Linked DNA regions of Lonchura striata. The protein of the gene in region 1 interacts with the protein of each later gene in a pairwise test. Links are inferred from orthologs where the notes say so. Each region holds a gene or a part of one and is shown in the gene's direction. Other genes may lie near its edges.

Region 1 (7,979 bases):
AGCCCCCATGTGCTAATGCACATGAAGGATTATTCTTGACCCCCAAGTCTTTCACCATAATAAAACAAGGCTGGACAGTGAGACAACTAAAAATATCCCCCAATGGTCTGAACAAGTCAGCACCCCCTCCTCTCCACCCCTTCATGCATTTTTTTTTTTTGCTGAAGATAATTTTCAGCCAGTTGTAGCTTTGCTTAGGAAACTCATGCTTGGGCAAGTTACAACTCACCTCCCTCTAACCAGATTTGCGCAATGTTTTCACTTGTGGCAGCTGGCCACAGCCTGGCTGATTTTGAGTAACGAAGCCTCTGGAGATAGGTATTTTGTGAGCTATCAGCATGTGCTTGGCATGCCCAAGTTTGTTCAGTAAGAAAAATGTAGGTGGACAACCAGGGTTGTTTCCATAACTGTGTGAAATAATTGAACTGTAAGTTGCAAATGTAAATAGCAGATTTAATCCTAGTTTTTATTAGTCCCATTTCTAATGTCAGGTATACTTACACAGCAGGATGGAAACAGAAGACAGTGAGGGAGTGGGTAAGCAGTGAATGATTTATTAGAGATTCCATTTGGTGTACTAGTCCAAAACAAACGAGGCAGAGCATATGGATAACTTATTTTGTATGCAATAAAAGATGGATGTTAATATCTCCCAGCCTGACCTTTAATCATATATATTTGCTTTTTGATCTAGTTTTAAAATGGAACATCTATAAAGCAATCCCTAAAGAGCTTACAATGAGAAAAGATCTTTCAGATATCTGTTTGTACCACATGAGGAAAGAAGCAAGCAAGCACTGTGAATTAGTCTGTGCCATAGAGATTGTAGGTAATTCTCCCTCAAAATTGCTCAAAATGTCTCTCTGCCTTTCCTCATTCCTCCCTTGTGTTTTTCTCAGCACTCTGTCTTCAGGGAAAATTCCTGCTAGTCTCTGGAAATGCTTTGTTCATTGAAGTGAGGGATAAGGCTTCCTGTTCCTCCTGATGGAAGGTTCAAAGGACTCAGGTTATCCCTCACAAGAATCCCCTTGGGGCTTGCCCTCACACTCACCCTTCTGCAAAGCAGGCAGTGCCCCCTCCTCCCCATGCACCCCAGCAGAGCCCAGGGCCAGCAGAAAGCCCATCTGCTCCTTCTCTGGGGCACTGAGGCTCAGCGGGGGCCCAAAGCTGCCTGCGCAGTGCCACCATGGCCACCATGCACCCTCCCAGTGCAGTGTCAGCCCACCTTCTCCCTGGCTGCAGCTTTCCCAGCACTCTGGAGAAGAGCAGACATCTCTGTCGCTGTTACTTTTACTGGTTCCCCTCCTGGCCCCAGCCATTCCCACTCCTCCCACCCCCCTTGCTCCCCTGCTAGAGAGGGCCACCAGCTTCCCAGCCACTGGCAGTCCCTGAGAGCATCCTATGCAGCCGGTCTAGACTGTGGGAGGGGATGTTACTATGGAAACATTTACGTCCTCTCAGTCTTTGGTGTGCTTACTAACAGCATTCAGCATTTGTCTCCTGTATTCTTGCTGGCGGAAGAAGAAAACATCTTTTCCTTGCAATGTGTACTTAAAAAAACCCCAAAAACCAAAGAAATTATTAAAACCCATATATTGATCTTCCATCCTAAGGAAGGAGGAGGGTGAATGAGGAGTATTAGTTTTCCATCTCCTGGTGATGCTGTTTGGCTGGAGGTGGCTCTCTGCAGTGCTGGATTTTTCAGGGCACTTCACTGCTTCCCAGCCAGGTCCTTGGCCTCTCTCCTGCAGCGAGTTCTGGAAGAGCAGCTCCTTTCTCCTGCAGCTGGCCCCTCGTTTCTGTGTCAGGATGGATCTCACTTATCCCAGGAGTTCCCTTTGCTGAGGTCCCCAGGGCAGGAAAATAACATCCATGGTGATAAAGCTGTTAACATGACAGCAGGACTTCACTTACCATACACACAAATTGGTGTTCCCTCAGAAGCCACCTTTTTGTGCTGAAATTAAATTTTTTCAGAGCTGCTCAGTCTCTGAGCAATAAATATGTAATATTGCAAAGAAATTCCTTTTTAGACACTTTTGAGTTAGTAAAGACTAGCTAGCAATCCTGTGCTCACAAAGTAGTTGTAATTTCTTTTGTACAAAAATTCCCAAAAATTGTTATTTGTACTTTAAAAAAAAAGTGTCTTCTACCTCGGCTAAAAAATCTAGACACAGTGGAGATATGTCTGACATAATATCTGTAAAAGAAAGATAATTAATGAATTGGGGTTGTAGATAATGAAATTATTTAACAACAGTTATTCTGCAGTCCTGCAGCAAACAGGGAAAAACATGCCTTTCTCTAAACAGCTGGCTTCTGGCTTGTTTGATTTCATTTTCTGGATTGGAGATTGTTACAGAAAATCTGTCTGGAACTCATAATACAGATTAATTTCCATCTCAGTTCACACACAAAAGGGAAAGCAGGCGGCTAGGAAACAGGCAGATCTGGGTTAAGTTCCTCATCACATACTTCATTTTTGCTTACGTGATTCTTGCGCATACATTCCCAGAGTCCTTTCAGAGAAATCTATAATTATCTTTTCATGATGAAGGATTGGGTGTATAAATATTGGGTGCATTTCTGTTTGTTTAGCTGCTATTATGGTCATACAATCGCCCTTTTCACTCAGAGGAGGGGAAGGCAGGCACGGCTGTGGATATGAGAGCTCTCCCTTAGCCAGTGAGGACATGGAAGTGCTGTCCACCCATCCACACAGCCCATCACCCGCTCAGCGTCTTTAAAAGCTGCCGCATCCTCTCAATTTTCCTTCGAGGCGAGATCTGCCTCCTCCGTAGTGTATTTATCAGAACAGTTATCTCAGACTGCTCAACTGCCACAGTGGTGGTTTTTGGCACTGGAGGACATTTTTCTCTGCCTCCTCTATTTAAATGAGTCATTTCAAATTTTGTGCTTAGAAAGGAAGAAAGAGAGACAAAGAGAGAGAGAAAGAATCAAAACCAAACAACCGAAGTAAAACGGCAACAAACCAACATGTAGGGGAAATTGCCCTTTTTAATTCAGCAGCCAGTGTTCTCATTACAAATGTGGAGTGACATACTCTGCTTTGTAGCGACAGTGCTAAGACCAGACTGCTAAAAGTAAAAATTGGGTCACATTCCATCCTTGCAAATCATCAGCCAGTTTTTTACGAAATCCCAGGCCTGAGCAAATAAAGTGAAGGCTTTACCCAAATACTACTGAGGCTTTAAAAGGAAAATAGTGGAGCCGTTTGCAGAAATAGTTGAGAGCAAGTTGAGCTGCAGGATGATGGTGTTTGAACAAGCAAAGTCCCACGGCAGCTCTCAGAGCTGATGGTGCTATGAGGCTGGCAAAGTGGAAAATCAACCTTTTGAAGCTGGATAACTGACACAGTGAGGAATGACACAGGTATTGAGACTCCCAGCTCACCAGAGCTGTCCAGTGCTTATGTGACCTGACTGAAGGGATGGTGAACTGAAGCCAGTGGAAAACTGTGGACCCGTGTGAGGTTCCTGCTGTGAGCTGTCTCAGCGGGGGCCAGGCGAGCTGGTGGAGCTGTTTAGTTTAGCAGGAATTGGGTGGGGGAAGAGGTCTGACTTCTTTCCTAGAAGCGAGTTGATTTGGATCAGATAAAAAGCAAAACCGCACTTGGAAAGCTACCCAAGGTGTCACTGCCCTTTTTAGCCGCGAGGTTCTATAGGTGATCCATTAATGCTCACACCAGTCGAGTGATGTCTACAGGGAGAAGAGAAGCAACTGCATAAGCATGAAACTGCACGGCAGGAGACGACATTTTTATTCCTCAGCTGTGGAATAACCAACTTAATTTTCAGCCCCTGCGTGGGTTGAAGGCACTAATTAGACTGACCCTGCCGGCGGCTCGGCAGCGCGGCTCTGCAGCCGGGCTCCTCAGGAGCTCTCAGCGTCGGTGCGGCGCCATGGCCGCTGTGAGGCCGGCAGGCTCCGGGCAGACGCCCTCCTGCACACACACACACACACAAACAGCCCCGGAGTGCCCGTAATCTACACGCTCCGTGTGCGGGGCAGGCAGGGAGGGAAGGCAGCGCGTTATCTAAGGCAGCAGGAAGCCACGGCGGGCTGCAGCCGCCTCAGGGGCGCCATGACAGCGCCTCAGCCTCGGCCGCAGCCGTCAGCGCCCGCCAAACCTCAGCGGGGCTGTGCGGGGAACAAAAGGAGCCGCTGGAAATCCAAGTGAGGTGCACACACTGCTTCGAGAGGGGCACGTCAGGGGAAACGCTGGATTGCCGTGGGCGGGCGCCATTGCCCGTCCCGGCTGCTCGTTCTCGACCCGCTCCCACCATCATCCTTGTTACCCAACCCCGTGCGGCCGCCATTTCCCTTCCCCGTCCCGCTGCTCCTTCTCCCCTTCCCCTCCGCATTGGTCTCCTCCGAGCCCTGGCCAATCACAGCTCACGGGGCACGTAAACGACTCGCCCCTAGCCAATGAGCGCCGCCCTTCCAACGTGGTGAGCTGCGTGACGTCTTCCGCGCGAGCTCCGCGTCTTTGTTGGCGGGTAAAATTCCCCCCCAGAGCTGCCCGCGGCGCGGGGGGGGAAGCGTCCTCAGTCGCTCCGGTCACGTGGCACAGCCGCGCCCGAAGGGGGGGTGTCATGCGCGCACGTAGACATCATATAGTCCCTTCATGATTGTCCCGTCATGGTGCTGTGGCGTCTTGTCGGCGGCTCCTGTGTTTAACTCGTAGCAGAACAGCAGGAGAGAAGCCCAGAAAGACAGGCCACAAGCCCTTAGCTGCTGATGAGAGGCAGGTCATGCTCGGCGGAAGGATACCTCACCGCCGCAGCTGGTCTGGTGAGGCGTCTCGTATATAAGAGCGGAGCGGCGCCGGTGCCACCTCATTGTTTCCTGTGGCCGTGAGCGGAGGTTGTGTGCGTGACTGGTTCGGTGTGCGCAGCACCTCCCGCGCGGCGCGGATACGAGCAGCCCCCTCCCCGGCCGCCATGGCTCTTTAAGGCGGCAGGGCCAGCGGCGGCATCGGCCAGTGCAGCAGGCGCAGCAGCAGCGGCGGCGGCCTCAGCACACCCCCGGCATCTGCAACCATGGCGTGAGTATCGTCTGTGAGGGACGGCTGCTCCGTCTCCTGTGTGTTGATAGGCGCCCTCTTACCCGCTTGAAGTGGGCTTTTGGGGTGGATTTATTGCGCCCGTGGTGGTAGTTCTGATCTCACGGGGAGCGGGTAGAAATACCTAGGTATACCAAATTAATACATTAACTACCTAGCTACGCCTCCCAGGTGGGGAGATCCTTGTAGAGCTCAGTATCCCCGGGTGCGGCGAGCGTCAGAAATAGCAGGAAATGCCCTTTAGAAAGAATTTACGAGGAGTTCTCTGCGTTTCCTATCGTTGGAGAAACCTCGATTTCGAAAAAGTTTGCCATTTTCTTACGTAAACCTACTGTCCGGTATTTTTGTGGGAGTACGGGGACTTTCCCAGGGAGGGTTTCCTTGCTCTCGCGCGGGAAAGCGCGGCTGTGTGTGGGGGAAAACGGGGCATTGGGGGTTGTAGGGTTTTGAGTCCAGGGCCCACGTGCCATAATCGCAGCTGGGCGGGCGGGGGCTGTTGGTCACCGGCGGCGGTGCTGAATGCCGCGGTGCGCGCTCACCGGCCCCGTGCGGGCCGGCCGCGGTGCGCGCTCACCGGCCCCGTGCGGGCCGGCCGCGGTGCGCGCTCACCGGCCCCGGTCTGCGCTCACCGGCCCCGTGCGGGCCGGCCGCGGTGCGCGCTCACCGGCCCCGGTCTGCGCTCACCGGCCCCGTGCGGGCCGCGGCCGCGGTGGAAACGTGGCAGGGCACAAGATGGCGGCGGGACCGCGAAATGGCGGCGGGAGGGCGGGGCCGGCCCCTCGGGGAGGCGCGGGACGTGCGGCAGCCGCGCAGAAATAAAGAAGCGGGATAATCTGCGGAGTTCCGCCATACTCACTGAGCTGCCCTCGGTTAAAATATTCAATGTGTTGGTCAAACCAAATACTGATGGGTGCGAGTTCTGTTCGCAGGTTTTTCACGGCATCGCACAGCAGCATTGCTGTAGTCGACGAAAAAGCCTTCTACTTGTCTACATCCTTCGACGTCAAAGCATTAAAAGCTGACGAAAATGAGCTTCTTGAACAACGAGATGCTGTTGGGGGATTCAATATCCCCCTTCAGCCAGCCGTGTTCGGTGGCTGAGGAAAGTCTGGGACTCCTAGATGACTACCTGGAGGTGGCCGAGCCCCTCGGTTCGCATGGGTTCTCCAGCGACAAGGCTAAGGCAGTCTCCTCCAACTGGCTTGCTGTGGACAGTTTAGGCAACACCATAGATAGCAGTCAGGGTAAGGTATTACTTACTTTCATAAAGGACGCCAATTCATAGTACCACAACATTACAGTTAAAAATAAATTGCTAGGTTTTCTTAAATCCGAATGCAATCTCACGTGTGTTATCTGGGCCTGGAAAGAGTGTATGCTACACTGCTTACTCTGGACATAGTTGCTGGTTATGGTAAAGTGCCTCTTCTGTTGGCCTTGAAATAACACACCAGCTGTCAATGGTATTCTTTCTTGGCAGAGGTAACAATAAGAAAGCATGGTTGTGTGTTGCAAATGTCCTTGAATTCTTTTGGTATTTAAATAAGAGGGCTGTAATGTCACAAGAGAGGTAATGTTGTACCCTGCAGTTTTAAGGAGCTTAATGAAAGAGTTTTTTCCTGATGATTTACTCTTAGTGTTGTAATACGTGAGAGAAGAAACATGCAAGATGATAAACTGATAGATTTTTCATGAGCTTGAGTTGCACTGTGTGATGGTTTACTGAAGTGGTAATTTACTTTCTGTGTTGTGCAGAGGATGCCTTCTCTGGCATGGAGTGGATGGTGGAGAAGATGGATCTGAAGGAATTTGATTTTGATGCCCTGTTAGGTATGGAACATCTGGAAGCCACCGTCTCACCAGACGAGCTGATGGCCACGTTGGAAGACACGTGTGATCTATTTAATGCTACCATCCAGGAATTTCACAACAAAGAACTTCCACTGATAAATAATGTAATCACCCATCTCCCTGAATCCCCTGTTGGAGCAGATCCAATGGCCCCATTGACTTCCCTTTGGTCTTTTCCCCTCTCCCCAGGGTCTCTCACTTCCACTCCAGACCACTCATTTAGTTTAGAGCTAGGTAGCGAAGTGGATGTTCTGGAAGGAGAAAGAAAACGGGAGTACCCCACTGTTGTGGTGGTGATCACCAAGTCTGAGAAAGAGGACGAGAACCACTCTGATGATAGTGGAATATGCATGAGCCCAGACTCCTACCTGGGAACCCCCCAACACAGCCCCACCAATTCACTTGGGTCCCCCAATGGCAACCAGTTCCCTGCAGATGCCCCCTGTGGCTCTGTGCGGTCCAAACCATACGATCATCCTGCAGAGAAGGTAGTGTCAGCAAAGGTGAAAGGAGAAAAGAAAATAGATAAGAAACTAAAAAAGATGGAGCAGAATAAGACTGCTGCCACACGTTACCGGCAGAAAAAGAGGGCGGAGCAGGAGGCACTGTCTGGGGAGTGCAGAGAGTTGGAGCAGAAGAACCAGGCCCTGAAGGAGAAAGCAGATTCCCTTAGTAAGGAAATTCAGTACTTAAAAGATCTGATAGAAGAGGTCCGCAAGGCCAAGGGCAAAAGAGCTAGAGTCCCCGAGTAGGGTAGTCAGCAGTGTTGTGTGCTTGTATATAAGCTTCCTGCTAAAGCTGTGTATTGCTGTCTAATAAATGATTTTGTAGTAAATGTGCAATGATGGCGTGTGATGAGTGGTACCTGTAAAACCAGCATGACTTGAACCACACCTAGGTGTAAATACAAGCACAACAAGCTGTTGTGTGTCTAGTGAGAGCAGTGTGTCACTTGTGCTGCTTGTTCTGGGTGGTGGGTACAGTGCAAGTGCAGAGTGCTTGGAACTGGAGCGTGTGTAAAATGTTTCAGTTGACCTGTGCC
Region 2 (8,236 bases), on another chromosome or scaffold:
GCCCAGATCTGGACCCAGCACTCCTTGTGGGGTCTCACCAGGGCAGAGCTGAGAGGCAGAGTCACCACCTCAGCCAGACACCTGGTCTTCCTTCTTGTTCATCAGATTGTTCACTCATGCCCAAAGGGGTCAGTCCCAATGGTTCCCATCCTTCCAGCGCATCTCACTTGTGGTAGATAGGGACAGGCGAATGGAAGATTTCGGGATGTGACAGAAAGCAAGACCCTTCCTCCTCATCCTGTGATATGTAATCCATTACCCCCAAGACACGTAACCCCACCTAACCCAGTAGTTTTCCACTCCTTACTAATCCTAGAGATCCTACCTTCTTCCTTTGATGTAGCAAAGCCCCCTTGACTATTTAACCTCACGAGATAAGGTAATAAACGCCATTTGACCATCCACCACATTGGTGTCTGGGTATGTCTGTGGTCCGAGTGGCCCGGGCGAGGCTGGGCTGCCGTGCTGTCCCTTGAAACCAGGTCGCCTTACCTTCTCATCTGAAGGCAACACTCACTGGACCTAAGATAACTTCCCAAATGACTCTTTTTTTTTTTTTTCTTTTCTCAAAATTGCTTTTCTGCCACCTTAGAAAAGGAAAACAGCCATCAAGGAGTCCAAAGTGTGCCAAAGCAAGTGCAAAGAGAGGTGCTGAATGAGTTGTTAGCTCAACTCAAGCCATGACAGACACCTTTGCCCTCATTCCTGATCTCATTGTGGCATAATATTAAAGGTGCTGACAAAGGAGCTCTGACAAGTCTTGTGGCTGCATTTGGAGGACACATCACACCAAAACACAGCTGTTCTGCCAGGAGTTGATTCCAGCACAGCAGGCAAAGGAATGGTACAGCTGGTGATGCCTCAGCTATTTCTGTGTAAAACTAAGCCTCCAGTGAAGATGGATGTAAGGCTCTGGACTTTGCACTTTTGAAGGGACTGAGGCAGAAACACATTCTCTTCTGCCAGTGCTGCGGAGGAGAGGTTGAAACCTGCAGCAGAGGGATGAGAAGGACAGGTGGGGTTAGTGACCTCTTAGGAAGCCATGGCAAGGTGTGGTAGCACTGGTGTGTCATCCCTGTACAAACACTACCTGCTCCTTGGCCAGAGGGGTTATATAACCACACCAACGTTGTCAGAAAAGTACCTTCTGTAGGCAGAACTTCAGTTATTTTCTCACTAGATCATGAGACATTGGCTCTACAAATTATGCTATGAGGTATTAAGAATACTGTTTTACAGTTTCTCACTGATATAAAGAATTCTCTTCACTTGCTCTTGCTGGGGCTTTTGCAGTTCAGCCCTTGGCACTGAAGAAGTCTGGCTTTCCAGCAGAAAAGTCTGAAAACAAGACTCAAAATGTTTAAAACTCCCTGCTCTAAAAAAGTGTGAAGCATTTCATCTGTAAATTCTCTTGTCAAAAAAATAGCATTAGTGTATAACTAATATCCAGGCTTGACTGACACCAATTATTCTAATCCTCTAAAACAAATCTCCTTAAAATCATTCTGCCAGCTTGCTAATGTCCTGTTTTAGTCTACTGAACTCTAATGTGTGCTATGCTGGCAGTGCAAGCAACAGATATGCAGGACTCAGAAGTTAGAAGTTTTCAAAATTAGATTAAATGGAAAATAAGAAAACACAGAATTAATTTTAGAAGTGAAAAAAATATACACTGTAAGGATAAACAGAGCTTTACATGGCAGAGGGATTGCCCATATATAATTGAATGATGTAGGATTTTTAATTAAAGTGTGGTGACACCTTTCATGCCTGAGATGCACAGCACTGTAAACAAACTTTATGCATGTCCAAAAGAACAGATGATGTGAATTGCCTGATTTCACACCCTCAGTCCTTTGTTTATGCCCTGTGCAACACTTAGATTGTACATGCTCTGTGATAGCTTTGTTTGGAGAGCAGTGGAGTGGTCACAAGAAGTGCTATGGGAGGTACAATGTCTGGTCCTGTTCCAGCTCTTTTATTCTTCTGGGTGGTTCTAACACGCTGTAGTATACACTGAGGACTGCTTTTCCTTTTATTGTCAAATTAATGTCTTAGCTTGGGAATTACTACAGTTGCAGCCTAGCATCTCTCAACTCAGCTTTGCTACCCCTAAGGAGAATGAGAGAGCTCTTGAAGAGTGTCTGTGGGCTAGGCAGAAATTTGTGCTTTCTTGGTGATGATCAAGCTGTGTGATAGAGCCTGTGACTGCTCAGGTTACAAACTATAATGAAGGAATGAAAACTGTTCCCGAGCGCACTCTGCATGCATGGAGAAGTTCTAACCTAAGCAATCACAAACTCTATCACACACCTTCATTATCATCCTCATCAAGGGACAAAGAGATGAAGTAAAATAGAACCAATTAATAAATAGAATCAGTACTCTTGTTCCTCCTGATGTTTTATCTTCATATGGAACAGTAATGCATCTGACTGCTATTTAAAATGCTAGTATGAAAAGCACATCATGCTTCAAGTGACAAAACACTTTGTCCACCAGAAAACCTGATTTGCCAGCAAATGGCAGTGAATGCCCACCTGAGGAAGACATGACATCAATGCTGGAGGAACAAATGTATTTACAACTCTGTGAACATCACTCTGCAGCTGGGGCTGTGGACTCAGTTTTCTAAGACAAATCTCTAACTCCCTAAGGTGACTTTTTCTGATGGAGATCTGGCATCAGTCTAACTCGTAATTTCAAACTTTCAAAAAAAGAGAAATAATGCTGTAAAGACCAACTTCAGCTATTGCCAGAAGGCATCCCTCTTAGTCCTTGACTTGTTCAAGTGGCATCATTACACTTGATAGAAAGGCTGGAAGTTCAGCATCTACAAGTACTTGATTCTGGTACAGGACTGTATATTTGCATGTGTGTGTAAACAAGAAAAGGGGGAAAATCAAAGGGTTTTATTTTATATAATAAAAATGTGTAAACAGTACAATAATGCATCAACAATATTTCCTAATGTATGCAAATTTCATAACGTTGATACTTTGCAGTTGAACTAATCTTACATCCCTTGCCTGATTATGACAACTGCTCTTAACCTATCATACATTACTGATTTTTCAGATAAGCATTAAGGGATTAATAAGATTCATAATTGTATCTTATTAATTATAACCCCACTTTAATGTGAAGTGTGTATCTAAATCAAATAAGGTCCTTTGATAGTTCATATCTCACCAGATATGAATTTATCTGATATAATGTTGCTGGTCTCTCGACAGAGCTGTCAGGGAATAACTTTAGAGGATTAGACCTGTGCTTAGTGCTGTGCACTGAGGGGTAGATACCACTGGATTCAAGGAGAACAAACGTGGAATACGTGACCCGCTCCTGCGTATGCCGGGGCTTGGAGTTGCAGCTCGAGCAGCATCAGCAGCATGGACTGCTGGTAATCCCGTCAGCATTCGCGACGTGAAGGGGAAAAAAAGAACCAGCACCTATTTTGCCTTTTTTGGGGGTGAAATGTGCCGGTTCCCAGCCGGAGCCGTGTCAGTCCCGTGCCGTGCCGTGCCGTGCCGTGCCGTGCCGCTGTGCCGGGCGCTGCGCGGGCTCCGTGGGGCGCATCCGCCACGGGCAGGCACATCCACGGGCCGCGCCCTGCGGGCTCCCGGCCGGAGCTCAGCCCGTGGGGGTGCGGAGGGGTGCGCGTGTGGGCGCGGAGCCCGCGGGGCCGCCGGGGCCAGCGCCGGGGCCAGCGCCGGGGCCGCCGGGGCCAGCGCCGGGGCCAGCGCCGGGGCCAGCGCCGGGGCCAGCGCCGGGGCCAGCGCCGGGGCCAGCGCCGGGGCCAGCGCCGGGGCCAGCGCCGGGGCCGCCGGGGCCAGCGCCGGGGCCGCCGAGCAGGACGGACGCGCTCGGCACACGGACGGCCGCGGGTCTCTGTGGCATCGGGAACTTCACAGGCACCGACCCGGGCACGGCCGCCCTATCCCGCCCGGCTTGGCCGCAGGGAGCGCCTCTCCGCAACGTGACTTTGCTTTGGTTTTGGCTTCTGTAGAGGTTTCTCTCGTTTGTTTAGCAAATCCCGGGCGTGTGCGAACGGAGCTGAGCGGAGGTCTGCTGCTCGCCTCTCAGGAGGCATTTTACGCGAAAGCGTGCTGCTGTCGAGCAGACCCAACAGCGGCCGCGGGACCGTACTCCGTGGCCGGCCGCTGCAGGGACAGTGTTACCGGCAAGGGGCACGCGGGGGAAAGGCGAGTTTTGGTTTAGAACGAATTTTGTCACGGTTTGACCGCAGCTGTCCTCTCGCGGCACGAAGCCGCCGACGGTCCGGGAGGTGTTGCCTGCTACCGGAGCCAAGCAACCTGGCGGGCCCTTGGGGATAAATAATTCAAGGGAAAGTACTGTTTTGCTATGTAAACCTTTTGTAAAAGGTGCGTTCTTCGGCCAGAAAAACTGTGTCTGCCGCGTAATGCAACAGTTCCGTCTGGCGCTGAAACTGCCGCCGCGGTAGGCGGAGGTAAGGCGGCCGGAGAGCCCCGGCGGGGCATTGGCAGAGTTCACCCGGACCGTTCCAAGAGCTCCGAGCGGCGGAGCAGGGCGAGGCGCGGGGGTCGCAGCCGACATGCCAGGCGAGAATTCCTCAATGGCGCTGCCCACGCCCACTCCGGGGGCGCGCGGGACGGCGGGCCGCGCCCCCCGCGCACGTGCGGGAGCCCTCGCCGCGCGCTCCCCGCGGGCCGGCCCCGCCCCGCGCCGCGCGATTGGCCGCCCGGGCCGCCGCGGGCGGGAGCGGGCGGGGCGATCGCGCCGGGCGGCCCCGCCCACGTGCGGCGGCGCGAGCACACATCCCGCACGTAGCCGGCGCGTTAATCAGCGCGGGGCCATCTGCCGCCCTCCTCGCCGCGGGCGGGGGCTGCCCGCGCCCTTCCCGCACGCCCCGGGCGCTCCCGCGCACTGCTGGGGCGCCAGCGGCAGGAGCGCCAGCGCGGGGCTTCGGCAGCACCGCCGCTCCCGCAGCGCCGGGCCGCGGTGCGTAGCCGAGCCTGCAGCGGCCAAAGTTTTACCTCGCCTCGCCTGGCCTCGCGCCGCGGCGGAGCCCCTGCCCGGCTCGGTCTGGAGCGGACGGCGGCCCCACGGGCATCGCCTCCCAGCGCGGGCGCCGGCAGAGCAGCGGCGCGCCCGTCCCCGCCGCGCCATGCCGCTGGGACACATCATGAGGCTGGACCTGGAGAGAATCGCCCTGGAGTACGTCGTGCCCTGCTTGCACGACATCGGCTTCTGCTACCTGGACAACTTCTTGGGGGAGGTGGTGGGGGACTGCGTGCTGGAGCGGGTGAAGCGGATGCACCGCGACGGGGAACTGGCCGACGGGCAGCTAGCCGGCCCCAGCCGCGGCGTCGCCAAGCGGCATCTCCGCGGAGACCAGATAAAGTGGATCGGAGGCACGGAGGAGGGCTGCGAGGCCATCAACTTTCTCCTCACTCTGATAGACCGGCTGGTGATGTACTGCGGGAGCCGGCTCGGCAAGTACTACGTGAAAGAGCGATCCAAGGTAAGGGTCCGCGGAGCCCCGACCTCCCGTCCGCCCGCCGGCACGGGCTCCCAGCCGGCCCGACCCGCCTCGCAGCTGCCGGCGGGACCCGCCCCAAACTTTCCACGGGCACTCGTCCGTGGCGCGTCGGCGCTATCGGCGGGTGCCCGTGGCTCGGGCAGTCCCGCGGGGCTGTCCCGCAGCACCGCCCGGGTGGCGGAGGCGCGGTGCGCTGCCCGAGGGACTCCCGTGACGGCAGCCGCTCTCCAGCCCTTGCCGCCGGGTGCGGGGTCCCGCGGAAAGCGGGGCCGCTCCCTGCGGGTCCCTCGCCCCGCCGGTGCCAGCAGCGCTCCGGGGCGGCTCCTCGCAGCTCCCCTTGTTGGGTTTTCTCCGGGCTTTACCGCTGCCGGACCCCATCCAGTCCCTTGCCTTTTCACCTGTGTGACACCGGCCATCCCTTCGCAGCCGTCCCGGGGGCTCCTTGCTTCTCGCAGTGGGGCTGGAGCCGACTGCACCCCGGTTCTCCTTGCGCTCACCCCAGGTGCGGACAGGGGCGTACCCCACCAAAAACGTCTAACCTTGGCTATTTCGGGGGGGAGCAAGGTCTCCACACTCTCCCTGGGAACGTAGCCAGCTCTGATCCGATTGTTAAGATGTTTTCGCCCATGTATTATCCTGCATAGTTTCGCGGTTCCGACTCTTGTCGCCGTTCTACAGCTGAAGAGGTTATCGTTACCGCATTGAGTATGGCCAGAATACGGGATGTTTAGTAGTTTGAGCGCAGCAAACTTTTGTTTTAAAGAGACAAATTGCTTTTTCTAGGCTTTCTCAGAAATGAAGGGGACACTTGTATTATTAGTTTCTTTCCCAATGAAGTTTATTTGCACTTGCAATGCCATTAGTGTGGAGTTAACTCGTCTTTTCTTTCCTTGTCTGTTTTGCTACGGCAAAGTGTACTAACTTGGAACTAAGTTTACTTTGTTGTCCTGAATACTGAAAACATCCTTATTTCTTTATTTCTGACTTGACACAGTACATTTTCAAAAGGTCCGCTGCTGTTAGAGATATGCCAGAAACAAAAACAATGAAAGTTTTAAAAAATTACAATAGGGAGAAGCTAGGCATTTCTCTTGATCCTAACTTGCACTGACTAAGGGCGTGTGTGAGTGGTATTGTGATTCCCCCCTGAAAAATGATGAAAAAGGTACAGTGATATTTACCAGTTGCTTGGGAACACACTGAAACCTTTGCATGCATCCCCATGCATTTACACACGGTAGTGGGAATAGTAAAAGTTGAAACATTGTTCCTTATGCTTAGCTCTTTAGAATTAGTGATCATCAATTCAGTTAAAGCTTGGGTAGGTATGTTTTAAAAATGTGGGTAGTTTGGATTTTACTTATTCCTGTTGAGAGCCTTGTATTAGGAGGCATAAATAACCATCCTGCCTTGGCACATCTTTAAGGTCATCCTTATCCTTTCTCCGGGTGATTTCTGTTTACTACTGAAAGTGCATTTCTGGCTAAGGGTGTGTGCGCAGGGGTGGATATTGAGGGGCGTTATTTAAAAGCTGGATTGGTGTGAAAGGAGGCTGTCCAGACTTTTTACGAGGTATTTAGAAAACAAATCATCTGGATGAATGAAGGCTGTTGGTGCTGGCTGGGAAGAAGGGTCTTTTGGGCAGTGGTTTTGGGTTGTAGAGATGGTTTTAAAACAGCGTTTTGGTGTTTTTGAAGGCATTCTTGTACAAATAGTAATAAAAAATAGAACATAACTTGTTTTATAAATAGGTAGCAAGATATTTACTATGAAGAGAGACCTCTGGCTCTTGTGACTTAATGTGAAATTTGTCAGAATCCAAACAGCACATGGAAGTGCTGCACAAGAGTCCAGGACTGAAAGGGACTCAATATCTCACTATTGTTTGCAAAACCAAATGCAGAGAAATTTTCATCAGTATAGTAACCAATCCCCTTGTTATAATAATAAATACCATGGGTATGTGAGGCCCTGGAATAGCAGCTGCTGTCTGTAACTGAGACATGGGATGCCTTCAGCAGAAAGATTATTCCTGTGACTAACAACTGATTACTACAGTGCATGCAGGTTCCCATATTGGTTTAAGACATCTCTCTTCTACCATTAAACCTTCCCATTCTGCTTATCATCTGAAGTCTTATTAATGCATACACACAAATCCCAAATTTAAATTCAGCAAATTTTTATTTTATCTGGTGGATTATGTATGTAAATGAATGCCCACAAAACTTTCACAGCTTAAGATTTGTGGATATGTGGGGTGTTCATGGGTGACTGGACCAGAGCTGCTTTGTGGGACATGTGCTGTTGTAATTTATTGTTTTGGCATATAGATATTACTCAGAACTAAGAGCTCAGAACAATTTGTTTAAAATGTAAGCCTTTAGGTACATGTTAACTAAATTTGTCATGAAAATGTACTTATGTCATATCAGCCCATCATTATTTAAAGGTTTATACTTTCAATAAGTAGTGTATGACTTTAGTCTTAAGCCTATGTGTTGGAAGAAGGTGAGAATGAATTTATGTCAGATTATGTCAGTTTAGTGTGAAGTGCTTCATATTTTTGTAGCTACACAAATATAAGTCCTGAACAACTTTTGTCCAATAAAGGAAATTTTCCTTTCAGCTAAATTAGAGGAACAAGTCAGTTAGGATTGTGCTGTTTCCAAATTAATTTCAAGAGAGTTAAGATTGCATCAAAGAGAACAA
Region 3 (7,482 bases), on another chromosome or scaffold:
TTCTAATAAAAATTAGGTAATTAATATATCCAGTTTGGCTAACTTGGTATCAAATTATCTAACAATAAATATTGTATTACTTAAATTCTTATAGTTGCATGCCAGGAAGATGAAATGTATGAAAGCTATTTGGAGCTATAGACAGGAATTGCTGTAACATATGTTATTATAAGTTATTGTTTCCATGAGCGAATCTTCTTTATCTGTTCCTCAGGTATTAACTTTGACTAATAATTAATTGCTTTGATGCAATCACAGAACCTCCTGTGAACTGCCACACCTTCCTCAATGCAACAGGTTCTTACCCTTCTGATTTCTTAAGAGTGGTAAAGTAGCACCAGCCCTTTCCTTCTTCATCCTTTTTCATCATCTTAAACTCAGAAGTCAGCTACACCAGGATACATCTTAGCAACACATGTTGCTTAACCACCGTTCTCTAAAGGATGAAGTCCTTATTATAAAGATTCCTCTGAGTATTGGGGGTAAGGTGCAAAGCCCCTCTGAAGACACTTATATTCAAATGGTACCAATTCTTTAGGAGTTAACTGATGTTGCTGCATAATAACATCATAATCGTTAGCAGCAAGAATTTCAAGTGTCTATATGAAGAAGGTAACACATTACCCTGAACAACCTGCCTGTGAACTTGACACACAGCAGACAGCTCACTACATGCTTATCCCTTAGTTTTCCCTGTGTAACAGGATGCCCACAATAATTAAAACATATTCACAACCCTCTTTTCGTCCCTAGGAAAGCAGCTTCTCCACAGAGATAGGATAATCAGGATATGCTGTCCAGCCTTCTGTTGCAGCAAAACAGAATAAATTTTAAGCCTACAAGCTACTGAGTCAACATTTAGTTAATCTAAATGAATTATCCCTTTTAACAAAGACTAAATAATAGAAAGTTTGATTTGAGTAAGTTATACAAGTTTTCTTGAGATCAGCATCAGTGCATGATCCATCTCTGAGGCACTCATACTTTTGAGCACACCCAGCAGTTACTCTGGTACAACTCTGTTCTAGGAAGTTGTAGCACCTGACTGCTTCCAAAGCAGTTCAAGTTGAACACTTCACGTATATACAGTTATTCTGAAGATTAAGTAAATTTTTAATTCAAGTCTCACCAGCAAAGCAAGCTTACCAGTCATCAAAAGTCAACAGCATAACATAAAAGGACAGGAAAAGTAATTTCAAGGAAGAGTTATTTTCCAGCTCAATCGTTTTACCAACTTTTTCAGCATGCCTATCATCTTCTTCAGGCTTCAACACACATTGTGTAACTATGATTCCAGCTTTCACTGCAACACTCAATTAAAATATTACATTTAAGCCAGGAATGCCACTGAGAAATAACATCTCTCTACTCTCACAGTGCCTAAGATTTCCCTCAAGAGAATACTCAAACAAATAGATAGTTGCTTGTCTTCTGTGGAATTTTCCATCTCAATAACTATAACTTGAAAAAGTAGAAACACATCAATATGCATTGCTCAGTCTTCCAAGGCATTTTTATTTGGAAACAAGAAGAATTAGATTAGACCCACAGACTCAGTCAATACCATGTGCTCTTCATACTCCCCTTGCTGGTGAGAAATAGTGTCTGGATAAGATCTTTAACAGTTTGATCATGAACTATCAACAAGAAAGCCATGCTTTAGAAGTCACTGTCTACTGACTGTTAGAAAAACAGCCGGAAAAAAAAATTCTGTGATCACAGACCTAAAGTACTACAAACGGTTTTTTTCCATCAAAAAAAAAAATAATTTACTTGCAGAAGAAATGTAATATGAGGAGAGTGGAACTGAATCTGCTAAAGTAGCGTCTATAGCTTTGCTACTATTTCAAACACTACAGGAAAGATGCAACAGGTGTAAAGAACAAAAGCTTCGCTTAAGGTACTTTTGGCTACAGCTTTGCTAGGAAAAATTAAAGTAACAATTCAAAAGAGGCAGAAGAGCTGAATCAGCATTCAATAGACAAGAAGACATCATCCAGCTTTGGATTGTCCTAATATTATTTAAAAAGGCATGCACAGTCTCTAGGTCAGTTATTTTTACTAGATTTTTCCAGCAACCTTCTTAGCATCGCAAATAAAAATCAGCTCCAGATTAGCTGGGAGTCACTAGAACAAGACTCAGGCATTCATCATTTCCCACTCCAAATCAGTGTAGGCAACATAACTCACTCCTCTATCACTCCAAAACCTGGGTATTATCCTCAAACATGAGCTCAACGAAGATCCACATAGCCTAGCTATAGTGAAGTATCAGAATTTCCACATGCAGCATCTTAGGTGTGTTTCAACCATACCTCAGATGTTCAGACAGAAACTTAAGACAGAGATAAAGATCCCTTTATGTTTTTCTTGTTTCTACACATACAAAAAGGCAGCATTCTAAGTACAGCAAGAAAGTTATACCTCTAGTGAAGAACAAGCTAAGCTTTCCCTTACACCCCCACAGCAAATTTTCATTCTGAGTCCAGATCAAGTTATTTACAGTAAAAATACTAACCCATTATGATCCTGTAACAAATCCTAATAGGGGAGAGCAATATCAATAACTTGTAGAAGTACAAATGTTAAGTTCCCCAAGCCTATGTTTCCACAGAGAAAGAAGCTATCTTTCAGGTCACAGGCATCAAAGGTTTGTTTTCTCCTGCTTTTCACATATGCAATAACTGGCTGCAGAAATTATACAGCAATCCATTTAAGATAAATCCCTGAAAAACAGCTAAGCTGGTATTTTTCCATAAACAGTGATTTCTTCCTAGATTCAAACCAAACAAAAACTCAATATGGAAGGCAACAACTTCAGAACAACCCATCTGTCCCAGTGAGCAGCACAAGCATCAAATTCTCCTCAATGAGAACTAAAAGCTTTCAAAGCTGTTCACATCTGACCATATGTGCATGACATCCCAGTCCTCCCAAAGTAGGCAAGTTCAGCTTGTGACTGTAGGCCACAACTTGCCTATTAGGAGAATCCAGGCTGTTCCTTGCTCTCTTTTTGAAAAGGTTGAGAGCAAAGCATAGGCTGAATGGATTCTCCTCAAACGAGGAACAGCTCCTCTATTCACTGCTTGCCCAGTTTGCCTCTGGACTACGCCCATACACTAACAAACGAGTTCCTGTACACAGTTCGAGAGAGAATAGGAGGTTGTCTACATCCTAAGCCTTAAAATGCTCTTATAAGATAGAAAGGGGGAGAAGAAAGTCACAAAACTAATACAAGTCCACTCCAACAGAAAGGAGGCCTCATAATAACAAGTTACATGGAACTACATAATGGTATTATAATCATAGCATTTAAAAAAAAAAAAAATCTAGCAGAAAAACAAAGCCAAGAGCCAGTGAAATAACTGTGAACTAGAGAATTTGACTGCTTTCCCTTGGTGTCATGTGATCTGACTCACTACTACAGACAGCAAGAACCAGAAAAAGTATTTGATAGCTCTAAAATCATTCATTTCTAAGAAAGTTTTGTTAGAACCTCACACGTGAGCACACTCTGCCAGTATTCACATCAGCTGAAGGTTTCTGTGAACAGCAGAGGACCAAGAGACCACAGACCTTGCTCTTCACACGTGCTGCATTCCTCATTAGAGAAGCCTCGACGTATTTTACGAAAACGAAACTTCTCCATCACATCTACAGACGTGAATCAGAGGACCATGAACGACTTCCCATTTTAACACCATCCCACTTACTACAGAAACAGGTAAGAGGCTGAAGACCACCTTCTTTCGCTTTCCTCCAGTGCCCGCAGCGGCGAACGGCTTCAGCCATGTACATCACCCGCGACCGGCACCCGCCTCAGCCGCCCTCCTCCCGCGGAGCCCACGCGGGCCCCGCCGGCCCGTGCCCGCGCCCGGCCGGAGCAGAGCGCCGTCCGAGCCCGGCCCGCGCTCCGGGACCGCGCCCGGCCCGGCCCCGCCGCCGGCCCGCGGGGACCCCCGCCCGCACCCACCGCTTCTTCGGGATGGAGCCGGAGGCCGGCCCGGCGGAGCCGCCCTGCGCCTTGCAGGGGCTGGGGGAGAGCGCTCCCCGCCCCGGGGCCCGCGGCGAGCCCCGCAGGTGCCCGGAGATGATGCGCAGCCGCCGGCGGGCGGAGGACGGGGAGCCGCCGCCGCCTCCCGCTGCCTCGCCGGCCGCGGCCGCCATCGCTTCCGCGTTGCGCCGCGACCGCCGCCGGGTGAGAGGGCGCGCGGGCGGAAGGCGCCGCCCGGCGCTCCCCGCGCGGGCCCGGCCCGGCCGCGCCCCCGCCCGGCCCCGGCCCGCGCCTCGGCAGCGCCGGGCTCGGGGAGAAAGCGTTCGGTAAGGATTCCCGCCTCCGGTGCTGTAATTACAGCCCCTCTGGGTCGCTGAACAAACGGGAGAGAACACAGAGTGTCCTTTAGAGATAAGGATTGCCCAAGTTAATGATGAAATGCTAATTAATGACAATAGCATAGGCGGGTTACTTAAGAAATAGGTCGGTGTGGTGGCAGATAATCCGACAGGTGTTGCAGATTTTATCATCGCTGTTGACAGGGCCACAAAGCCCTGGTGAGCGCAGGGCTGCCGAGCCAGGTGCCTCTGTGCCTGTGCAACCCGGCTGGCCTGAGGGGGAGGATCCGGCTGCTGATCTGCTCCCCAGAAATGATTGCTGACCCACTGCTGGGAATGCATCGCCTGCTGTATGGGATACCCATCACTGGGCCGATCCTTGCAACAACCGGCCATCCTCACCGTACTTGGGACCTGGGAGAACATCAGGGATTCACTTTGTAGCATCACTTTGAAGAGGGCAACTGGGATTTAAGGGGAGATGCAGATTTGATGCCAGCCCCAGGTGCTTTCTGCTGTGAATTTACCTTGATGCACCTGAATGCTCAGGAAAGGATGCAAAAACTGGAAATACTTTAAAGTAGAACAGGAAAATAGGTTTTCTGTCTTCAAATATGTAAAAGATTGCTATCGACTGAAAGGAAGCAATCTGCCCGTCATGACTCAGCTAGGTTGGTGAGAAGTAATGAGCTCAAACTGCAAGATGTAACTTCAGTATTAGCATTAGACTATTTTCTGATGGCAGTGGAAATGAAAAACTGTTGTAGTCTGCCTAAGTAGAGAACCAAGTCACCTTCATTAGCAGCGTTAAGAACAGACAACATACATCTATCAGACATACCATTATAAGCAGTTCTGCTCAGGGCAAGGTGACCTGCTCAGATTAATTCCAGCTTTTCCTCTGTGGCATGAAGTATCTCACATGTTGTAGTCTACTCAGTTGTCACACAGGACCTACTTTCATGATCGGCTTTTGCCACTGACTGGCACCGACCAGCTTTTTGGAAGTCCTGAAGTAGATTGCTGGGGTCTACGCAATGACTGATAGTTTGATAATGACATTTTGTCTATCAATGTTGATTTATTTGTTAATTTCTTCATCGAATGTTTGTTACGTGAAATACAATCCCAGGAAAATTGATAAAGCTCTTACCCTCTTCCAAACCTCTTCTAAGGACCTATTTCTCCCATGATACTTCAACATGGTACCTTTCCATGAACTAAGCAATTTGCAGGAGGTTCCCCAGGGAGCAGGCTGTACTGCACAAGCAGGGAGCCTTGGGCTCAGTTCCTCACCTCACATGCAATATTGGTGCTTCTTTGAGTCACAGCTCCCATATATATATCAGGGATAACAGGATCTCCCCAGAGAGACTGGTCTGAAGATAAATACACTATGGACTGCGTGACAATATAGGACCAACCCCAGTAATGCCTACTGATGAGAAGCAGTTCATAAAGCCACCCAGGTGTTATTACTGTTTGTTTTGCTTTTATTCTCACCATTGCTAATTGATTTTATACCCTTTGTATACTTTCTCTAGAAAGTAGCCTGCAATTTTCCTGGGGCAGTGATTGCACTAGTTGCACTCAGGCTTAAGTTAGGTTTCCGGTATTAGTGCAACATAAACAGCTGTTGTGGCAGTTCAATAGTTTGGTTATGGAATTAAATTTCCCCCCGTGAATAATTTGTACACAAATTTCTGGATTAACTCATGCATATCCACATTTAGCTGTCTGCTGTTGCAGAGGCAGTCTGTAGGGAACAAATATGGGTCTCAACTGAATTTCCACTCACATTGTTTACTGAAGTTCTGGGTATAGCTGGGGGGACTTTGAGTCACAGTTACCTAAAACTTTCCTCATTGCTGAATGCTGCCAAGTGAATACCAAATCCCCTGTAGTAGGCTTCAGGTTTTCCTAGAATGTTTCCTTGGATCACAGTCACTTGTAAGGAACAATAATGAGCCAATTGGTCATTTATTTGATCCTAATTGTAGAGCTTCACAGTTAAAAATTGGCCTCAACTAGAATCTAATAAGTAATATTTGTAATCACCTCACAACTTGTTTCTCAAAAAAGTTCCAAATTAGTCTTTAAGTATGTGTGTGAACGAAGATTTAACTGGAGATGCTAGAGACGTAGTGGTATGATTTGGAAACTCTTGAGAGCCTTGTCTTTTGCAAAGCAGAGGAATAGCTAAGTCACACCTTGTTTTCGTGTGAGAGAGGTATTTTCTTACAGTAAGACTGCTAAGCTCCTACCAGTGCTCTGCATGCAATCCCTGCTTCCCTTGGAAGGATGGCAATCTTCATAAAAAGCAGCAGAAACATAATGTGCTGTCAGATTGTGAGGTCACTGTTTCTCATTTGCTGAAGTGAACCACTGGCATGTTTTCAAAAACTGTATCTAATTTAACCATATAATTCATTCTGATAAGTAGTAGTGCCAAGAAGAAAATTTAGGGAAAACAAATTTGAAAGTAATCTGTTGTGACACCAAAGAGAACTTTTATCAGTAAAAATACCAGCAGATCTACAATGCAGTAGTTGGAAGTATTCTAATTGTTGTTGAGCCAAAGCAGCAGCCTTTGCCATTCCATGAGCTGTTCTGCCCACAAAACTGAGTGCATCTGTAAGCATAAGTGAGATGCCAGCTCAATGTGACACCTCATGCCAACAAAGGCCTGCATTTCCAGAATTCTGCACATTGGCATTTTCAGAAAATAGTTTTAAAGCCAGTTTACAGTGTAAACAAAATAAAGTTGCCAAAGTACTGTAAAGTTTCAGAGAGGTCTTCATAACAAGGTGTCTCAGAGTTCCATTACGCAGTGGTCCCATGAGAGACACGGACGGAGCATGCTCTCAGGACAAACACTCCACTCCTAGGCAACCTGCACACAGGCTGTGCAAAGGAAAAACTCTCCTGATAAATCTTCTTGCCTTGAGTGGAGTCTGGAACAGGTTGTAGAGAATCACCTAATATAGCATGAGAGCCCCTGAGATGTAGGTATCAGATACAGAAAATTAATTGATGGCAAGTAGCAACTATACATACATCTGGGAGAGAAGGTACAGTGTTACTACAGTGTAGTAAGAATTTTGAAACATTTCAAAGAAGTGTTATTGAAACATGAGAAATTTCCCAGTC
Region 4 (8,293 bases), on another chromosome or scaffold:
CCTCATCTGCTTGGCCCAGATTCTGACATAATTGTGTAGGGTTTGTTAGCAGAGAGATGGGACTGACTGAGAATGAAGTATATGAATGCAGGTCACCAGCCCTCTCCATAAGTAACAAAAAGCACAAATCCATGGTACTGATGAGTTCTTTTTGAAAGGAAATAACCAGACTTTTGACATGTTTCTATTGACAGCAGTTCTGCTGACAGTCTGCTGCATGAGAAGGAAGAAGAAGACATCTAACCCAGAGAACAATCTGAGCTATTGGAATAATGCTATTACCATGGACTACTTCAACAGGCATGCTGTAGAGCTACCAAGAGAGATCCAGTCACTGGAGACTTCAGAGGTACCTCGCTTGCAGAACTGGTGTCTGGAAAATGTAACTGATGCCATGCTGGGAGGAGGGGAGAGGAAGTCATATTAATAAAGCCTTGAAATCCCCACAGATGTTCAGGGGTACAGCTTTTAGGGAAGGACTCACTCCTACACATGTATTGGATGGGATAAACATCTCAGCAAAGCTGGATTGCCATCCTATTCCCAGCCACTGCAGATGTGTTCTGCATTGCTGCGTGGTGACGGGCGTTAACCACCAAGAGGTGAATTTATTCCTGGGCTTCTCTTCCTTGTGAGCCTATAGCCAATGTCAAGCCATGCCATGATGTCTTAAGGAGAGCTCTTTAGGCTGGCTTATTACTGACAATCAGTCTACTGTGCATGTGCCACACAGCATAAAAATAGGAGGCTGCTGGAAGTTAATAAAACAAAGAAATTTTGTACATTTATGTCTCAGGAGCTGCCTGCAACTTCTCAAATACCAGTTCAGGGAATTAGTGTTCCCAATACAAAAGTAATCAGAACATCAGTATGTGAGGGAGTGTGGTGGTGTGGTGTACACTCATCAGCCTTTATTTAAGAGATCTGACTGGTTTGGTGGGATTATTCACACATGAGCAGGTGATCCTACTGATAGAAATCTATTCCTTGGCTTCAGAGACAGAGAATAATTCAGTTTCATTCAAAGATAATTAAAACCTAGAAACAGTGGAGAGTCTGAGTTTATGATAAAATGATTTTCAGATCAGCTATCTGACTAGCTCATATGACTAAATTAAAAAAAAAAAAAGTTTAGAAAGGAACCTCTAAGATGTGATTAGACAGTCACAGTCACTTCATTAACCCCACTTTGCTGGCAATCACGTTGCTCAAACTAAGGCAGGACCTGGTCTAGCTTGCCCAGAATCAAATGTCAGGCCTATTCACATACAGGATAGTCTTCAAAAGGTGACTCATTTAAACCTCATCAGAATATGACTGAACTGGAGCATACTCAGGTGGACCCTTATGTGTGGCTTTCTAACTGTAAAAAGAAGTTGCAAATGCATCTTTGAGGAGTCAAGCCCTGCTGAGAGATAGGAAACACATGCAATGAGTCAACAAAGTGAAAAAAAAAAAAAACCAAACCAAAAAAGCAACAAACCAAGAAATGTGAAAGCTCCAAAGGGATTGGAAGTTTGGTGCAGTTGACTTCTGGGTCCCCAGGCTCACAGAGAATTAGCAGAACCTCAGAGGAACTTTTCACTCACAGCTCCTCCTGCCTGACAAAGGGAAAAACCAGCTCACCAAACCCGGCTCTCCAGAGTCACAGACCACGACATTCAGGCACCTTTGGGGGATCGAGAGGAATGCCCTGTGTGCTCCTGGAGGTTGAAGGGTGTGAAATGCTCAATCTGCTTCTTTCTTTTTCCTTCAGGACCACCTGTCTGAGCCGCGCTCCCCGGCCAACGGTGACTACCGTGACAGTGGGATGGTCCTGGTGAACCCCTTCTGTCAGGAAACGCTGTTTGTGGGACACGAGCAAGTCTCTGAAATATGACCCCCCACCTGCCCCCGTACTGCAGTTTCATCTCTACTGTCTCCAAATTATAAATAAATATATATATATTATAAATATAACCTTTGTGTAACCCTGAACTACAAGAAATGTTTTCAGCTTTTCTTTTGTCCCTCAGAATTGTCAGCCCCTTTTTTATAAGTGTGGTAAAACTTTACAGAACAAACTGTGGCTTTATAAAATAAAGGTATTTCTAAGCAAAACATTTGTCAAGTGGACTGAATCCTTTCTGTGACTCCAGTACTGCCTGAGCACCAGCTGGGGTGAGCCCCTTACTGTCCCACTTCCAGTCTGAGCTCCAAAACTCTTTTATACGAGCAACAACAAGAATGGCCCTTTTTTCCTGTGTAAATATGTTAACCACACTACACATTGGACTCACAGCTGCTACACTTCAGCCCAATAAGCCTAGAATTATTTCCTGATCATCAAACAGCCTCAAAAGAAGGCATGTAGAGTGCTCCCTTCAAAAGAACAGAAAATTCCTTTCAATTTATCAAAAATCTTGCAATCTGGTGACTAGGGACTACCACCAATTGAATGCTGTGGCTTTGACCACATTTCCACTTCTCCATTGTTTTATTTATTTTTTGTGTTTAGACTGCTGGTGCCACTGAATCAAGTTTCCTCATACCCTCTTCTCTTCTCTGGGACTTTCTTTCCCCCCTTATGAAGGAAAACACAGCATTTTGGAGCAAAATGGCAATTCTTTCCTACCCTGTTAAGAGCTAGATTGCAGACTCTAATAGCGTTAGGGGAATAGTAAGGGTGAACAAAGCTTAAATGATGGATTAAAAATAGGTTGCTGCAAGGCAAGAATAAGATAGAACATGGAATGACTTGGCCCAAATCGATGCTCTCTCTTTGAGTAATCCAGAACTGTTACTGTGGGACCAATTCTCAGTTTTGCTTCTCAAAATGCCTTTTTCATTCAGCAAGTGAAATTACTCCTGTCCTTTGAGGTCTCGTCCTCCTTCTCCCCACCTCTGGCCACCAGTTCTGCTAGACAATTTTCTGCCGTCACTCCTCACTTCATCAGGAGCAGGCTGACAGTGAGGGGCACTTTAGCCCCTGCTCCAGCTGGCTGCTCCTTGCCACTGGCTGCTCAGGTTTAACACTTGGCTGCATGAAAGGGAAGCTGGAGCAGGACAGGGTTAGTGTAGCATCATTAACCATATGCCTTGTTCAAGGTGAGGCACAGTTGCTACTAGAAAAGAGACTTACAGCAGTGGCACATCTGGTCCAGCTGTTCCCACTTGCCGCCAGGGTCCCAGTGACTGTCAAGCAACATGACAACTTGACTAAATGATGGTTGGAATCAGACCCAGACTTGGCTGAGGGGGCCACAGAGGCCTCGTTGCTCCTCCCCTCTCCCCATCCCACACATGCACTTCTGCTGTGCCAAGGCACAAACCTGAATGTGGACCACAGGCTTCTGGAAACTGGAAGATTGAAATGTTACAGGGACTCTCCTGTGTATTTGTTTCTCTGCTCAGCATCAGAGAGTAATGCAGGCCTTTCTCATGAGGTCATGGGGCAGGCAGGATGACAGGACTGTGTATGAACATGGATGGGCACTTTGGGAATGTATCTTTTCACCATGGGATAAGTGCTATGCAATATGATACCTGTGATCCTCATGATCAATTACTAAATAACCTCCTAGAAACCACTGTTTGATAGGAGAGTGTTGCCAAGAGCAAAAGCAATCCCACAAGGATCTTTGTTTTTATTTAAAGAGGGAAGTGGACAGAGAGAACAAGGTTACAAAAAACTAAATTAATTTCTTTGAAAAAAGAGTCCACATTATTACATTTGTTTTCTGTACATGGTATTACTTTTGCAAGGGAGATTTTCTAATTTGACACAGAGCAACTACACTGAAAATACTGTGTAAGAAATATTGGAGGATGCTTCCCATTTAACCAGAAAAGTTTGCTTGGTAATCTAAAGGCAGAATACCTAAACTAGACAAAAGTTTTTGCAAAGCTGAGAGATGCTGTGCTGTTCCCAGTCTTCACACAACCTGGAAATGGTGACCTGACTTTAAGCAGCCTTTCAATTCTCCAACTTAAAAAAACAAGCAAAATAAACTCAGCTATCAACCCAGTGAGCCAGGATTAGGCACCAGTGGAAGACAGGGATTTCTGATTGTATCCTGTCTCGCCAAAGACTCACCACTGCCCCTGCACAAACCTACACTGCATTAGGGCAATGCCCAACATCAGCACATTACAATCGTGCCTACAAAGATGCACACATGGTGATCCTGCACTGGAACAGCATCCTGATGTGAAGTATCCCTGTGTGTACGTAGAAAAAGCCAGACCTAACATTGTGTTGTGAAGGATTGCGCTGTACCAGGACCACATCCTACTTATTACTTATTATTACCTATAAACCCACCTGATCGCTAGTAGCTAAATAATAGTGACATAAAAAGAAGAGCAAGGGAAATATCCCTCTTTCCTTGCAATAAGTCTCTAGGATTGTTTTGCCCTTTTCTTTTAATTCACAGTTGCCTCACTTTGTCACCACGTTACACAGGCCAAGAAGGGAAACATGTCCTTGCTGAGCACATAAAGTGCAATTGATTATGTGAAGTTAAACTGACTGAGAAGGGGTGGACATGAGGGTGCTTGTCCCTATAAAATCTGCTGAGATTGTGTCAATATCCCTTGGGTGGGTGGTGAAGCCAAATTGCAGAGAAACCCAGAAGCTGCAGCAGACACAAGGGAACATTCAATGTTCTACAGTGGCAAAAGGCTGGCTCGGCTCTGCTCAGCTGTGGCCCAGTTGACTCCACGGAGGTTTGGGTTGTGCTAAGTTAGGAAACATCTTGCTGATGTAGACTATGTCTGGAGCAAGCACTGGCGTGAGAAGCAGACGCGTTTGTAGTGTATAACTGGATACCTGTGTTATAAGGGAAGGAAATCGCCCGGGTGTCAGCGTAGAAAACACTGCTGGTATTTTAACACGTGCATTGTACTGAATCCCCGTCCCGCTGTCCCCGTAAACACCATTGTGCTTTTCATCTGCCACGTTTGCAGCAGCAGCAGCAGGGAGATTTCGCCTGAAATGGGATTGCTGACCCAGCAGCCGTCCGGACAATGGGACGGGTGCTCCCAGGCGGCACAAAGCCCCCCTTCCAGAAAGCCGCCGCACAAAGCCGAAATCCCGGGCGAGCCCCAACCTGCTGGGCTCGGCACATCGCTGCCGCCAGTGCGGGGCCAGGCGGCCGGGCTGAGCGGCGGTGCTCGGCAGGCTGGAGCGACAGCATGCCCTTGCCGAGGCGCCGGTCCTCCTTCCTGGGGCAGCAGCCCTCCAGCTCCACGGCGGAGAGCTCGGGGCCGCCCGGCCGCCGGGTGAGCGTCGGAGGCGGAGGGAGCCTGTCCAGACCCCCCGGCGTCTACGTGGGCACCGTTCCCACCGGCGGCGTGAGCAGCCTGGGCACCCGAGTGTCCCGTAGGGCCCTGGGCATCAGCAGCGTCTTCCTCCAGGGTCTCCGCAGCTCCGCCGCCGCCGTGCCCCTGGCCCCGGGGCTGGATAAGGGCAGGGGTCTCTCCTACGAAAGCTTGAATGGCTGCTTGGTGGAGTACATCGAGAAGGTGCGAGCCCTCGAGCAGGTCAACCAGGAGCTGGAGGAGCACATCAGAGTCTACCTGGACAAGAAGGCGGCCAGCGTGGGCAGCTGGGGAGCGCTGCGGGAGAACTGGGAGGCGATTTACCACCAGGTGAGCGCGGAGCGCCGCCGGCAGCCGGCGGGGCGGGAGGGAGTCATCAGCAGCTCCGGGCGGCCAGGGACCAGGCTGCCCATGAATGCCGTCTGATTCCGAGGCGAGGAGCCTAGACAGAGCGTTTAAAATCTATCTTCATGATAATTAGCATTATTATGCCTATTAAGCGGGAGAATTGCCTCAGGCGTCATGTGCATGGGAGCGATTGAAATACACCCCAAGGCGCCAAAGTCTGGGTTGATTAGAACGGGTGGTGGTTTTTTCCTTTTTTTTTTTTTTTTTTTTTTTTTAATTTTATGTCTGTGATTATTACACTGAGTATCAAAATTATTGAAAGAAACCTACTAGGACTGAATTAGGTTATCTCTCAACATGATATTACAAGCACGTTGAGGGGTTTTGTTTTTTAATCAGCAATTCAGATTTTTACTTCATTCCCTTGTTGGCTTAATAACATTTTCAAAAGCTCTATTTATTTAAAAATAGCAATTACATTGCTACAAATGAGTGACTCCCTTCCTTTCCTTTGCCATCACCCCCACCATCCCTCACTCCCACCTTCTCCATACAGCACAAATCTTTATAGTGAAATAGTGTCTGTATTGACCTCATGGACAAGAAAAATTTAATTTTGCTGTCAGTAAGGCCTCACAGGCTGATGTCCTGCTTGCAGCAAACACAAGGCTCTGTCTGCTGAGGTCTTGGTGCACCACACAAGCCTGGCTTCCCAACTCCCATCCAGTGGGAGCAGACAGGATTCCACAGACCTGGAATCTGGCATCTCACACACCTCTCCCAGCAGCGCTTTTGTAGGCACAGAAAATGGCATCACTGGGTCTTCACAAAGCCTGAAAGCCAACTTTAAGTTGCCTGGGACAATTGTGTGTTTAAACTTGGGCTAGCCAGTTTTACTTTGCATTTTTAGGGCAGGTGTTCTCCCAGAACACCACAAACATTGCTTGAACCCTGAATGTGTTGGCATAAGCTGTTGTACAAAGATCGTGTCAGCAGAAACACCCACTTAAGCACCAGCTTTTAAAGTTGCTATTGGTAAATGACATTATTGCCTCCTGAAGGGAGCAGCTGCTGAAGTAAAGGGGTGCTCTGAATCTGGGGTACAAAAAGCCATCTCCTTGAACCTATTCCCTCCCTGGGGAAGATAGGGACTTTGATAGGTGACAGGGAGTTAATCCTTTGCAGCTGCCATCCCATGTTCTCCAGACCAGTGTCGCATTTTGTAGCTGTAGACCTCATCTGTAAATCCTACCAGGATTTATGGTTAAGCCCAAAAATGTGGGACCATAGGAAAGGACCATTTAGGAAGGACTGTTTGATTTTTCATTACATAAACCTCCAGCATTGCAGTGCAGATGAACCTGCAAATGTATTAATTTTTCATCCAAATTGCTTTCCTTTCAACCTTCCTTTGTGGTCATCCTTGCCTCTACCTCTTTTTTATAAATTAATAAGAGCATCTCATAATGAAATCTAGCCTGAATATCAGGCTCTTCCCATATGAAAATCAGAAAAATAAAGCCATGTAGTAATAGCATTTGTGAGTTGCATAGAAAAGAAGAGAAAAAGATTAGCATCATCCGTATCTATTTAACTATCAAAACACATCAGAGAACACATGAAATCTTCTGAATTGCTTCAATTAAATCAATAAAAGAGGCATCACTTAGTGGGTTTTGTCTTTCACGGATGTGATCCAAGCTGTTATGTTCAATTCTGATTAATAGATTTCTTTGCTTTTTTTATTAAGCATTTAACCAGAAATGAAAGTAGGACCCTATCCAGCCCAAACACCAATTAGCTCATTCGTCTTGGAGCTAATTGGTAAAATTTTGCCAGCATCAACATTGAAACCACCACATATATTAAAATAATGTCAAAATCAGTTGTGGCAGAAACAGCGGAAATCACATGAAATCCGAACCCTTTTGCCACAACACATCCCAAACAGAAAAGGAAAAGGCATTCAGAGCAAGGTGTAGCAGAAATGAGAGAAACCTGGCAGATACATTCCTAAATGTATTTTTTTGTAAATGTATTCAGATTTTCTGCAGATGTACACATCTACCTTGATTTCTTTAAAAGTGGCATACCTCATTTTAAGCTTCTTGTAAAATCTGAGCACTCATTTGGATGCCAGGCCCATGGGTTCAGTGGGGAGAAATGCCCAGCAGTCATAAAACCCCTCAGTGCCATTTGCATGAAGCGGCTATGAAAGTTTTGGGGGAAAAAAACACTCAAGCAGGCACCTGTATTAGCCCAAGCACTCATGATAGGAACAGTTTTTTAACAAGAAACAGCAAAGAAAATTACACAATTGGGAGGAGGTCTAAGCAGGAGCCCTTTCCTCTTTCCCTGCTAATGAGAAGACAAGGACATGGCCACAAAGGACTCTCCTGGTCTCAAAATCACAAATGTGACAGGCCCATCTCTGCAGTGGCACAGGAGAGACACCAGCAGACCTGAAGTCCTATTTCCCTCCTGCCCTTCCTGGAATGTGCTCCAGCATCCCAAATTTTGGGTAGTTGCATTGCCAGCAAAACCAGCTCGGTGCCAGCATATCTCCTAAACACAGAGCTAAGGGAAAAAAGGTGTCAGCAAGTGACTCAGAGGGTGTGTGTGAGTGCAGGATCCCTCAAGAAAA

The links.
Region 2: the proteins of ATF4 (region 1) and EGLN3 interact in a two-hybrid assay, tested with the Homo sapiens proteins (2 studies listed by BioGRID). The link is inferred for Lonchura striata from reciprocal best matches to the Homo sapiens genes ATF4 and EGLN3.
Region 3: the proteins of ATF4 (region 1) and NFE2L2 interact in binary tests that used the Homo sapiens proteins (3 or more experiments, as listed by UniProt). The link is inferred for Lonchura striata from reciprocal best matches to the Homo sapiens genes ATF4 and NFE2L2.
Region 4: the proteins of ATF4 (region 1) and BFSP2 interact in binary tests that used the Homo sapiens proteins (3 or more experiments, as listed by UniProt). The link is inferred for Lonchura striata from reciprocal best matches to the Homo sapiens genes ATF4 and BFSP2.

What each region holds. Positions count from the first base shown.
Region 1 is NC_134607.1:24,137,687-24,145,665, forward strand, and holds ATF4 (cyclic AMP-dependent transcription factor ATF-4), read left to right. Parts: upstream 1-4,854; 5' UTR 4,855-5,068; intron 5,069-6,015; 5' UTR 6,016-6,113; coding exon 6,114-6,330; intron 6,331-6,841; coding exon 6,842-7,689; 3' UTR 7,690-7,779; downstream 7,780-7,979. UniProt on the Homo sapiens protein: Transcription factor that binds the cAMP response element (CRE) (consensus: 5'-GTGACGT[AC][AG]-3') and displays two biological functions, as regulator of metabolic and redox processes under normal cellular conditions, and as master transcription factor during integrated stress response (ISR).
Region 2 is NC_134608.1:25,775,662-25,783,897, forward strand, and holds the start of EGLN3 (prolyl hydroxylase EGLN3), read left to right. Parts: upstream 1-4,964; 5' UTR 4,965-5,149; coding exon 5,150-5,506; intron 5,507-8,236. UniProt on the Homo sapiens protein: Prolyl hydroxylase that mediates hydroxylation of proline residues in target proteins, such as PKM, TELO2, ATF4 and HIF1A. Target proteins are preferentially recognized via a LXXLAP motif.
Region 3 is NC_134610.1:22,647,832-22,655,313, reverse strand, and holds the start of NFE2L2 (nuclear factor erythroid 2-related factor 2), read left to right. Parts: upstream 1-4,278; 5' UTR 4,279-4,320; intron 4,321-7,482. Other genes in the region: AGPS (alkyldihydroxyacetonephosphate synthase, peroxisomal), read right to left, coding at 3,974-4,167.
Region 4 is NC_134603.1:113,236,523-113,244,815, reverse strand, and holds the start of BFSP2 (phakinin), read left to right. Parts: upstream 1-5,175; coding exon 5,176-5,631; intron 5,632-8,293. Other genes in the region: TMEM108 (transmembrane protein 108), read left to right, coding at 195-349, 1,757-1,879.